3 linked regions of the Kluyveromyces lactis genome follow. The main gene of each other region encodes a partner of the protein of the gene in region 2 in a complex. Links are inferred from orthologs where the notes say so. Each region holds a gene or a part of one and is shown on either strand. Other genes may lie near its edges. The genes, in order: PET112, HER2 and GTF1.

Region 1 (4,456 bases), on a different chromosome or scaffold from region 2:
CAATTCCATTCATCGGTAGCCCGTTGACATTGGCAGACGGGTTGGCAAAGTTTGCATTGCCATTCCAATTGCTTTTCAACGGCGTAGAATATATTGACATCTGTCCTGTCTTGCCGATACACTGTTAGCTCAAGTCTATACCCTATTTCCGAAATTCAAAAAAGACAAGTACACAGATACAGTAAAGCAAAATTTTATGCTGAGCAATCAGTTAACCAATTGGACAAAGTGCCCTTAGAGAAACATAACTGTTAGACCTGGTTCTGCAAGGTAGATTTAGAACATCATCTTTATTTGTTTATTCAGAGAACCAAAGAAAAAAATTTGAAAATGATTACCCGGAACTGGTGATCTAAACTGGAACATGATAGTGAACTCATAAAGGCCAACAATACCATTACAGTTCGACAGATCAACTTTATTCTAGTTGCAAAGCATTCAGTTTCTTGATTTCACCCATAAGAAACATCCAGTGTATGTTTTCATGTGATACGTGACGATATATATTAGTATTAGCAACTATGGGTACTTTATCATGTTCATTTATTTTGACACTTTTGTGACAAAATGTCAATAAATTGGTACTATAGGTAATGGAATATAAAAGATGATACCAGAAACCTTGGGTCCTGATTATAAGTTCAAAATTAAGTAAATTATCAATTAAATCTCCTGCTTTGAAAAGTACTACCCGGCAATTTTCCTATAGAAAAGCGTTCGCTCAAACAGAAGGCAAAAATGGTCGGAAAGCTTAGAAGAAAGATCCCATTGGATAACCAAGATGTTAATACCCAGCCGGCGAAAAGGATGTGCTTAAAAAAAAATATCCTATTGGAAGATTTGAATAAGGAGAATATTCCGATTGAAATACCTTACTTAAACGAAAGCCCTCAATCAGCTAGCAGCAGCCTTACAGGGGTTTTGAACTTACATCTCGAAAAACAATCTCCACAACGCAAAAGGCTGTCCACCAATATAGAGACGGACACTGTGTTAGATACGAAAAAGCAAGAAGTTTTGACTTCTTTAAAGTTAGAAGAATTACAAGATAATTTTAAGGACCTTGAAAGAAGATTAAGCATTCAAAATCGTGATTATTTCATCAAAGACGCTCACTATTCAGATGAAGATTTGACGAAGTGTAGAACTAATTTTTTGTTTGAATTGGAATGCTTACCAAACTTGAGCTGGTCTCAAAAAGGTAACCTTCGAACTGCTAGCTATATTCCGTCAGTGTACCAAAAGTTGGACCCAAATTGGTATTTTTCACAGGCGTTTTCAATTGATGATTTTACCAACTTGCCTGAATCAGTTAAGCCATTCTATATATTAAACCCAATGAATGAAGTACCAGAGTGCAATAACCAACAAATTGAACCAGTTGGACCGGAAAAGGCAACTGTGCATATTGAAAACATCGAACCTCTTTCTAAAATGATACCCAGCTCCAAATTAAAATTCCGTGCTAAGTCGTGTGCTTTTGATGAAGATATTGATTGCCAACTGTTGTTTAAGCAGAAAATTTCAGATTGTAACTATTACGAAGACGAAGTTGATCAAATATCACTACCAGATAGTTTGGATCACTGTAGATCTGTTAAGAAAAAGGTTACGGACGGAAAGAAATCTTTGAACAGAAACTCTATTCTATTCCACACCGATAAAAGGAACTAGTTAGAAACAATAATTATGGCTGTTCGAAAACCAAGATAATTCTGAAACGGTGTATAATATTTATGAAAAATGTATAAAACAGAATAAGGCAAACAAAGCTCAAACTATCCAAATACACTGTGTGCACAAGTTATGTCACTTTCAATCGTCAGTTAAATAAATCTGTCATCGTGCTTATGGCACATTTTCTAAGGTTCGGGTAAAAAACATGAAATTTGAATTAACAGAAGCAATGAACATGAATATAAAGACAAACATACTTGACAAAAGAACGGCTTTTAGGCGCTGTGTGTTAGTGATTTTACCAACTGCTTATTAGCTGTTTTTGAATTTCTAGTGGGTGTTATACTACTGAGTGATAAGCTATAAATAACCAGAAATGTTGGTGTTTAGAAGGAACTATGCTAAGAGGAATACTGGTTCCAAATTCAAAATTCTTCCTGAGTATAAGTTAAAATGCGGACTTGAAATCCATACTCAACTGAATACAGACAATAAGCTTTTTTCAATGTCAACTAACAGCCCGTTTGCAGATGTGGATAAGCCAAACTATCATACATCGTATTTCGATGTTTCGATACCCGGAACACAACCAATACTCAACTTGCAGGCAGTTCTATTTGCATTGAAGTTATCGCTAGCATTACGATGCAAGGTCAGTCTAAACTCACATTTTGACAGAAAACATTACTTCTATGGTGATCAACCATTGGGCTATCAAATCACACAACATTACAATCCTTTCTCAAGTAAAGGTAAACTACGATTGTACAAAGATTTAGACTCTATTGAAGAGGCTTTCAAAGACATATCTGTCATTCAGTTACAGATAGAACAGGATACAGGTAAATCTGTATATAACTCTACTGACTCCAATACAAAAATCGACTTAAATCGTTCGAATGTGCCATTGATCGAAATGGTGACTGAACCCGATTTTACAGACCTAAAACAGATAAGAGCTTTCATCAAGAAATATCAAAACCTTGTCAGACATTTGAAGATATCTACAGGTGACCTTGAAACGGGCGCGATGAGGGTTGATGTAAATCTTTCTATTAATGATTACGCCAGAGTAGAGTTGAAGAATTTACCAAATACTAGCTCAATCACTAATGCTATCAAATACGAATACAATAGACAAGTTAACATGATAGAAAAAGGCGAAGGTGACCAACTCAAACACACAGAAACTAGGGGATGGACAGGTTCGGAAACTGTTAAACTCAGAACTAAGGAAAGTATCATAGACTACAGGTATATGCCGGATCCAGAACTACCAAATATTCTTTTAACCAATGAAATAGTTGAAGGAGTAGAAAAGACAATTCCAACGTTACCAGACGATACCTGTATGATGTTAATGCAAGAGCCCTACGGTCTAACTTTAAAAGATGCAAAAATTCTCACAATCAATAGTAATGGCCATGATGATTTGTATTCCCATGATGAATTAAGAGCATGCTATTTTAGTACATTTGATGCATATCACTCATTATGCAAGAAACAAAACGAAGAGTTCGTGAGAAAACTACCTGCAAATTGGATAATTCATGAACTTTTGGGAAACCTAAACAAGATGGAAATTCCTCTCATCAAAGTTTCCCATATTCTACCTCCGGAGAAATTTGCTGAATTACTCTTGCTAATCTCTAAGAAAACCATCAGCAACGCCAGTGGTAAGCTTTTATTATCGCATATTTTGAATTCCTTTAAGGAGAACTCTTTTGTGGCTTCTGAGCCAATAAATTTCAATGCTCTAATTGAGGAATTTGAGCTACATGCAGTCTCAGATGTTGGTTCGGAAGAGCTCGAATTAATTTGTGAAAGTATAATTACCGAACTCAACAATAACAAAATGATTGAAGATATTAAATCTGGTAAGAAGAAAAATTCTATTAAGTTCCTTGTCGGTCAGGCCATGAGGATATCTCAAGGTAGAATACAAGCTCAAGAATTCGAAATTACTTTCAAAAGACTTCTTGGTGTTGAACCGTGATTACATTCCTTCGCTAACATGTCCACACTATCATCCATGTAAATACAGAATAGATAAGTTCATAATGAACATACTACGATCCAAAACTATTTTAAGATTATTCAAAGGATAATTCACCGAAATACCTTTTAACTACCTGACTAATATGAAAGTATATACCATTTATAAAATTTCCTTACTATAAACCTTGTATACCAAGTGTGTAGAACCATTCTACAAATACTGAATAAAAATATTAGGGTACCCATACCATTGAAAAGAAAAATTAGGCAGTCACCTTCTTAAGGTAATTGCAACAATAAACAAAATCCAGGTTTGGAAGAAATGAAGAAATAGAAACTTCAGGCTATAATTAGAGGGGAACCGAACTTACAATGTACAGTTTTTCGGAAAGATGAAACTACTCATGGGTTGTGTAGTTGCATTAGTGGAATATCGCATAAATTTCGAAACGTTGAAATTCTTTAACTCCAAACGCTCATGTCAGAATTCCAGATGGAAACAGAAGAAGTAGTTGGTTGGGCAGAAGAGTCGTTATTCCAAGTCGAAGTTGGTTCAGAGAGCATGAAAGTCGAAGATAACGAACTTGAAGAGTATAACCCCCCTCCATAAGGTAGTTGTGGATCATTATTTTCAGTAACTGATGATGACGAAGGTGTTAAAGGGTTCATAAAGTCATGACCTTGAGAGAAAGACTGTTCGATAAAATTACTACCAAAAGTTGGAAAAGATTGCTGTTGCATGTGGAATGGCTGCGAATGCAGTGGTTGCTGATACTGTTGA
Region 2 (4,240 bases):
TGTAGTAGTTGATCTCGAGGGAAATCAGAATCAACATTATCAAGTAGTCTGAATAGCTCTTTGTATACTTGTGCTTGTGCATTAGAAGCTGAATGATTGGATGTAATCAACGATTGTAAGTTATCAGATGAAAGGTTTGCAAACTCTTCAAATATATCATCCCATTCATTCCTATCCTGAGAAGTTACCAACAATTTATTTCTATTATCACTACGCTTAGTACCCTTCTTCAATTCCTCATCGACCTTAGGGATTGTGCTTGTATCTAGATGAGGGAATGCCTGAGCTGCTGAAACCATTACTTCCATCGCCTTCATATAAGAGCCCACGGAATGGACTGAATAAGTCGTACTCATCCTGTACAAAGATTAATATTATCAACCCTATAGCCAAACTACAGTATAACGACTGTAACGGTTTTCCAATATGGGCTTTACGTTGATCTTCTTGTGTTAAAGTCAACTTAAAAGGTGTTCTTTGCTAAAGATTACGAATTATGATTCTTGTGCACTTTTAACAATGCGAAGAGATGAGCTATAAAAAAAAAGGCTACTGACTACTAGTATTAACTATCCATAGAAACGCTATTGGCCACTCAATTTACCTATTCTCACCTCTAGATCGTTGAGCTGTAACTCTAGTTGATGCCTAGTCCGCTTGAAGGATTGTTCTCTGTCGGTAAGCTGTCGTGACGTGGATTCTAAGAGCGATGACCATTTTTCGATCTGAGAATGAACTGAAGACATATGATCGTTAATCTCAGATACCGTATCGTTCATGTCATTCACAGAGGTATGTAGAACGTTTAGCGACTGTACACGTTCTGTGATTTGTGGAATCACTTCCGAGTACTTGTTTAAGATGTTATACTTATCGTAAATGTCATTGACCTTAGATTCTGTAGATTTTAACTTCCTTTCGATATCAGTAGATAGATTTGGGTCTTTCTGAGCTCTCCTTCCGATGATCGACTGGTCATACTGATCACTTATCTCTTTCATTTTATTTTGGAATCCAGTCAACGTCGGTTCATCCAACTTGAGGATATTAATCTCTCTGTGAAGTTCATTGATGATTGACGTTATCGATTTATTCGTATTCGAGGGTCCGATTTGTGACTCCAATATGGAAATCTTATGCTCAATATCCTCCAGCTGCTTCAATTGGTTGATTTCTATCCTGATGTTTGGAAGTGTAACCTCATTTTCTGTATCCTCGTCTGATGCTATGACCAATTGGCTTTGTATGTTTTCCATTGTACTTTCCGTAGACTGAGCCAACGTTTCATACAATTGCTTCAAGTTCTGTAATTCGTTTGAGGAACCATCCTCCTCGGAATCCTGCTCTATCTCAAGGAGCTCCCTCCGTATCCTTGCCAGCCTCTGCCTTCTTGTTTCATTTATATGTCTGATATTATACGTCGGCAGTGCGTATAGTTTTCCTGAAAAATCGGTATCCTCCGAACTTAGCACAGAATGCTCGAACCTTTCGTTATTCTCTTGAACCTTAGGTATTTCCTCCTCAATTATATCTTCATTTGCCTCGGTAATCACTACTTGGTCTGGTGTTTCTTCAACATCACTGGTCTCATACACTTCTTTCCCTGTATCGCCTTGTAACCCTAATTGTTCCACCTCAGTAGATAGATCGATTATTTCAACAGCCATGAGTTATTCCCGGTCTCTAGTTATGAATGTGCGCTAGTATGTCCCATATATCGGTCCCTAATCGGGTTGTGATCTTTAACTGTTCAATAGTTAATAAGTTTCATAGATATGAAACCTTAGAATCGAATTTAGTTCTTTTCAATCAATACACTACAATATATTACATTGGGAAGTGAAAATGGAGTGACTTACTCTAATTCTCTTTTAATTGACCATACACACTCGCTACTGATCATGTCTATCAAGACGGCACTTTCGAGGCTCCAGCAGATACCGGAGATTCAAAGTCGCTACAATGTTTTCACATATGTTAATGAGAGAGCATCGTCGCAATTGGAATCAATAGATAAGAACACTACCGCAGATAAACCGTTGAATTATACCCTGGCCGCCATTAAGGACAATATAGCCACCAAGAATATGCCTTCTACATGTGCCTCTAAGATTTTAGATGGCTATATGTCGCCTTTTGATGCCACCGTTGTTTCGTTATTGCTAGAAGCAGGAACGGTGATAGCTGGTAAAGCCAACATGGATGAATTCGGTATGGGTTCTGCTGGGATACATTCTCATTTTGGGCCAACATTCAACCCGCTCTTTGATCACAAGGATCGAGTTATCGCAGGTGGTTCGTCATCTGGATCTGCTGCTGCAGTAGCATCCGGAGTTGTTGATTTTGCATTAGGAACTGACACAGGTGGGTCCGTAAGGTTACCAGCCTCATACACTTCAACTTTTGGATTCAAGCCGTCGTATGGTAGGCTCTCAAGGCATGGAGTTATATCGTATGCTCAGAGCTTGGATACGGTAGGGGTATTTGCGAACGATTTGTCTATGATTGATAGGGTCTTCTCGTTGTTAGATAAGCATGACAAGAAAGATCCAACTTCGTTAAGCGAGGAATTGAGACACAAGTTTACTTCATTGACAACCAAGAGAAAGACTTTAAGAATAGGTATACCGGAAGAATTTTCTCAGGAAAGTGTTCCTGCTGAATTTAGAGCTGCCATGACGGCGATCATTAAACGTTTAATGAAGAAAGGGCATGAGGTATATCCTGTGTCAATTCCATCAGTGAAAAATGCACTATCTATTTATTACACGTTGTCTCCTGCCGAGGCAGTGTCTAATCTTTCCAGATATGATGGTGTCCGGTACGGTTATAGAGCAGAATCCGATGTTGAAGATGGTACTTTATTTACACCAACAAGGTCGGCATTCGGACCGGAAGTTCAAAACAGAATCATCTTGGGAAATTACAACTTATGCTCAGAGTCCTTTAAGAACAACTACATTAAAGCTCAAAAGCTAAGAGTCCAACTAATAAATGACTTTGATCGGGCTTTCAGGTTCCCAAATGTGTTAAGTGGGAACTCTGTTAATAAAGACGGCGTTGATATCATGTTGTCCCTAACCTCAACTTCATTTCCTACTACCTATGATGAAGTTGTGAGCGAGGAGAATAAAAACCCTTTGAATACATACATAAATGACATATTCACAATGCCCATGTCATTATGTGGGCTTCCAACAATGACTGTACCGGCAGGGCACGCATTTGGTATTCAAGTATTCTCTCAACACGGTAATGATTACGAGTTGTTAGATGCCTGTTCTGAAATTGATGCACTTGTAAATAGTTAAATGAGTTGAAGTTTAGTTAAAATCCATAATTCTATAAACAGAAATTCTTTTATAAAGTCTTGATAAGCCCTTCTAACTGATCGAGAGCATCCGTTTTGTCCCATGAAAGTCTATTGTTCCAGATGACGTTGGCTATGGATGCATAAACTTCTTCTAGTTTCTCTACTGTGAAGTTTTGTGTATTTTTTTCCAGAGCAGAGATCAAAGAGAGAGCTCTAGATTCATCGTAGACGAATTCTGGTTCTGGTTCTAATTCTGACTCTGGTTCTGACTCTGGTTCTGGTTCTGATTGAGCTTCTGGTTCTACTTCAGCTTCAGTGACGCTCGGTGGTTGCTTTTCCTGCTCCTTATTAGTTGCATCTTCAGTATCAACAGTTAAATGCGAATTATTGTGACTAGTCTGAGCAAAGCCATTTTCCGCATTGGTAAGCCTGCTCTCCGAATAATCTTGAACAGTGTCCGTTTTTGCCAAATCAGCATCATTGGTTCCAAAGTTCACAGGCTGTGTTGTGAATGGCTCTACTTGAGACGTTTCACCTAGATCTAGTGTACCCGCATCTAATTGAGCCTGAGACTGCACTTGGTTTCCTGAGGCGGTAGTTAGTTCAACTGTAGCGATCGAATCAGTTTGAGTTGGATTGTTCTGCAAAAGTATTTGTTGTTCCTTATCCACTCGTTCACTTTTTTCCTTTATAAATAATTCTTGTCTTAGAAGTTCTCTTTGGCGTGTGGCTTTGCATTCTGCAACAAATTCTGGTTGCGAGATATCTTCGATGCCGACTTGTGCATTAGCAAACATTTCAGATGCCTTTATTACTCTTTCTCTGTCCGCTGATGTGGTAGCATCAAGATAAATCAACTCGATATCTTTTAGGAATTGTTTCGGCTCAGAGTAATAACCATTCCATAATCTCTCTTCGATAATATCC
Region 3 (3,182 bases), on a different chromosome or scaffold from region 2:
TGGTGACAAATGAGGTGGGAGTGGTTCACCTGGTAAGTATAAGTTTGCTGGAACCAATTCACATTTATTGATAGAATCAAAAATCCATTGAGGTTGAACGTATGTTCTATTGGCGACCTTGTTCTTTAATACAGGTCTATCGACAATTTGATGTGTGACCTTGGATAAATCTATGTCTTGTTTATCAGTGAGTTGATCCAATGTAGCTTCGCTGACGGCAGAACCACCGCATGATAGAATCAAAAATTCTACGATATCCAATGGAACTTCTCTGCCAACGTAAAATACAAATTCCGAGAACAAAGTAGCAACAGGAGAATCGAATTTAGAAGGTTGTTCTAACTGGTCACCTTGGTTCTTATTAGTATCTTCAAATTTATCCAATTCAACGTCTTCCACATTTTGTTCTTGGTCTTGGTCTTGTTCCTCTTCGTCATGTTCATTAGAGTCTGCCTTCAAAGCGGTCTTTAAGGTATTAGCTCCCAATTCCTGAACTTCAACGTTTTCCGATAGCTCCTTTGGTTTCACAGCCAACGAACTCTTCTCATCATTAGATTCCAAGATGTATGCACTTAATCCCCCGATCAGCTTGTTCTTCTTAATATCCAACTTCGGAGGATATACCAAACCGGCATCTGTGTACAACTTGAACAAAACGAAATGCAACAAAGTAGAGTAAAACTCCAAGAAAGTTAACATGATCCTGAAATCGACATCGCTTGGAATATTTTCAGGGAACTTGTATGGTACCAACCATCTGACATCTTCACCTTTTACACTGGCTTGGTAATAAACACCCTTGATGGAAACAAATACCTTACGTACGCATCTTTCCTTGGCAATGTATGCAGACCATTGATCACACATTTGCTGTGCACTTTGTGTGATTCTAGAAGACACTTGATCGGTAGCTGGCAAGTTGGCGAACAAGAACAACATGTTCAAGGCATCGTCCACATCTCTCAAGGCATCAGCAAAAGATGGATAACGTTCCTTGATGATATTATCTAATTGATAGTTAGGTCTGTTCTCTTCCAATCTCTTAGCTGCTGACACTTCTCCTCTCCCTAGAGCCTTAGTCAACTTTTTAGCAAAAGTCTTATGTTCTCTGAACTTGGCCAATACAGGCTCATGCATCAAATACTGAATATCCTTATAATAATAGAAAGTGGTAGGAGCCGTAGATCCTTTATTAGCCTTCTTCTTATTCCTAGGTTCTCTGGGGTAAATACCCTTGAAGATACACAATCTTCTAAAATCAGCTAAAGAGATCTGTAGTTTACGAACGGCCTGAGACCTGGTAATGAAGTTTCTAGCATTACCTCTGGTATTTCTCTTCTTAATTCTCATCTTGAACAAAAAAAAGTATCTCTCCTTGTCTAGTTAGTTAGCTATCTTTTAAACCTGAACCTGGAAGATTACTCTAGCTTATCAAATTGAATCACTTTATAACTTAACTAGAACCACCAAAGACAAGCTATCGAGATAGCAATTGTCTATTCAATCATTCATTGTACGTATAATAAGTGATGTATGTGCAATTTGTATTTGAAGCTCATCGCATCTCATCGCATCTCGAAAACGAAAATTTTCAGAAATTGAAAAAGAAATTATCAATCACGTGATACAAATATTCAGACTTAAGTTGACTACATCCCAAAAGGGGAATATTTGGGGCACAATATCAAAACCGTACAAGATGAGTTTCTGAATTTATTCACGTGATCATTAAAATGTTTAATTACAGCTTGCACGTCGGAAATGTAAAGAAAGGTTCCTTATTCTGACTTTTAAATTTGAAGAGGATAAAAACGTTGTGACTGGTATATTCCCGGGCTCTCACCTGTATATCTCAAACATCTCATACCAATAACAATGCTTCTTGCTTTAAGAAGAAAAGCAATCCACGGCATTCGTTTCTCCAGTGGTAAATGTGGTCAGAATTTGAGTGGCTCCACGATAGGACCGAAATTTACCAGCGATAAAGAGGTTGAAGAATTTTTGAGTAAGAGTACATGGGATGTACGAGAATATGTTCCCTCATCGGTAGATGAGAAATTGATTCCATCAGAAGAAACTGTGGTGAGATTGTTAAAGATTTCCGGACTTCCAATAAAGAATATAGACCAGATTCAAATCAGGCTTGCGAACCAACTTTCGTTCATCAACCGTTTGCATAATCTTCCTGTTGACGAAAATATAAATCCAAACCATGCAAGAATTATAGAAAGGAATCCAACTCCGTTGGATTACGAGGGATTAATCAAAGGGATTGCAAGCCAGCAGAAATCGGACTCATTGGGCGAAATAAGCGGATCATGGGATCCTACCAAAACCGCTGCAGTGAAAAGAGATGGGTTTTTCATCTTAAGGGAAGGCCTACTTAAGGGAAGAGATTGAATATTCAGGGTTGGGACGAAATAGCCCTTTATTTTAACTCATATGTACTATTTACAGAGGTAGAAGAAGTAAAAAGATGGTAAGTATAACTCAGAATCTTGGGAATACTCCAAGGGATAACCTTTTCTCTCTTTGTTTCTGGATAGACTTCGCAACTAGCCATCCGTACAATACACCCATCGCAGAACCACCTAAATGTGCTGCATAATCGAATGACCCCCATCTCAATGCGCATCCTACGACGTTCCATGTCACTAATCCAAGGAATGTGAACCATGCACCGAATGGCACCGGAAAGATGAAGAACATCATCTTAGCGTTTGGAATCAAGTACGAGAAACAACCGAATAATCCGAAAAGAGCTCCGGATGCTCCCAAACTAGGACCCATCATAGCAATTTTAGCAAACCTGGGGTACCATAGAGAGAAAAGGGAACCAGCAATAGCACTGTTAAGATAGAGACTGGTGAAATTTCCAGGTCCCAACATCGTGACTAAACTGGTACCGAAGGAGAACAAACATATCATGTTCATACCTAAATGCCAAAATTCCTGATGAGAGAATGCACTACCTAGTAAAGACCATTTGGAATAAATGTGATCTTTTTGCAAAAGCGCATATCTTTGTAGTGGTCCCCAAAACCTTGGCAATTGCCATAACCCAAAGACGGCCAGATTAATACCAATGATGGCGTATGGTAAATGGGTCGGGTGTCTCTTGAAATATGAGAATGGAGGGATCTGGAAAAGGTATGGAGCCAACATCAAAGTACCACCCATGA

Evidence for each region.
Region 1: the proteins of HER2 (region 2) and PET112 are in contact, whole or in part, in a crystal structure (PDB 4N0H), measured with the Saccharomyces cerevisiae proteins. The link is inferred for Kluyveromyces lactis from reciprocal best matches to the Saccharomyces cerevisiae genes HER2 and PET112. Residues at the interface, in NP_014021.1 of Saccharomyces cerevisiae: Val56, Leu69, Phe72, Pro75, Phe76, Arg176, Phe177, Gly178, Val179, Ile180, Gln184, Ser185, Met211, Lys212, Asp213, Pro214, Thr215, Ala291, Glu292, Ser295, Asn296, Ser298, Arg299, Tyr300, Arg304, Tyr305, Leu319, Phe320, Arg324, Asn339; in NP_009473.2 of Saccharomyces cerevisiae: Tyr66, Ile69, Ala70, Leu71, Pro72, Gly73, Thr74, Gln75, Pro76, Val77, Arg105, His107, Phe109, Tyr110, Gly111, Pro114, Gln115, Gly116, Tyr117, Tyr123, Leu177, Asp297, Arg299, Tyr300, Met301, Pro302, Pro304, Glu305, Pro307.
Region 3: the proteins of HER2 (region 2) and GTF1 are in contact, whole or in part, in a crystal structure (PDB 4N0I), measured with the Saccharomyces cerevisiae proteins. The link is inferred for Kluyveromyces lactis from reciprocal best matches to the Saccharomyces cerevisiae genes HER2 and GTF1. Residues at the interface, in NP_014021.1 of Saccharomyces cerevisiae: Phe72, Lys73, Pro75, Lys82, Phe177, Lys212, Ile239, Val240, Lys241, Glu242, Phe243, Ser244, His245, Glu246, Tyr256, Leu257, Leu260, Glu261, Ile264, Glu269, Ile270, Tyr271, Pro272, Val273, Ser274, Ile275, Pro276, Lys279, Asn280, Leu282; in NP_011616.3 of Saccharomyces cerevisiae: Gly29, Ala30, Lys31, Ile32, Gly33, Lys34, Lys35, Phe36, Met39, Ile42, Arg43, Tyr45, Leu46, Arg48, Val50, Trp51, Ser52, Val53, His54, Tyr56, Leu57, Ile59, Lys76, Leu77, Leu78, Arg79, Leu80, Ser81, Gly82, Leu83.

The regions. Positions count from the first base shown.
Region 1 is NC_006041.1:1,835,005-1,839,460, forward strand, and holds PET112 (glutamyl-tRNA(Gln) amidotransferase subunit PET112), read left to right. Parts: upstream 1-2,053; coding exon 2,054-3,673; downstream 3,674-4,456. Other genes in the region: NUP170 (Nup170p), read right to left, coding at 1-100; KLLA0_E20637g (uncharacterized protein), read left to right, coding at 739-1,674; KLLA0_E20681g (uncharacterized protein), read right to left, coding at 4,138-4,456. UniProt on the Saccharomyces cerevisiae protein: Allows the formation of correctly charged Gln-tRNA(Gln) through the transamidation of misacylated Glu-tRNA(Gln) in the mitochondria. The reaction takes place in the presence of glutamine and ATP through an activated gamma-phospho-Glu-tRNA(Gln).
Region 2 is NC_006037.1:861,538-865,777, reverse strand, and holds HER2 (glutamyl-tRNA(Gln) amidotransferase subunit HER2), read left to right. Parts: upstream 1-1,901; coding exon 1,902-3,311; downstream 3,312-4,240. Other genes in the region: SLH1 (RNA helicase), read right to left, coding at 1-356; JNM1 (Jnm1p), read right to left, coding at 585-1,667; chromatin segregase YTA7, read right to left, coding at 3,361-4,240.
Region 3 is NC_006040.1:1,295,323-1,298,504, reverse strand, and holds GTF1 (glutamyl-tRNA(Gln) amidotransferase subunit F), read left to right. Parts: upstream 1-1,875; coding exon 1,876-2,400; downstream 2,401-3,182. Other genes in the region: mRNA-binding ribosome synthesis protein NOP7, read right to left, coding at 1-1,350; rhomboid protease PCP1, read right to left, coding at 2,491-3,182. UniProt on the Saccharomyces cerevisiae protein: Allows the formation of correctly charged Gln-tRNA(Gln) through the transamidation of misacylated Glu-tRNA(Gln) in the mitochondria. The reaction takes place in the presence of glutamine and ATP through an activated gamma-phospho-Glu-tRNA(Gln).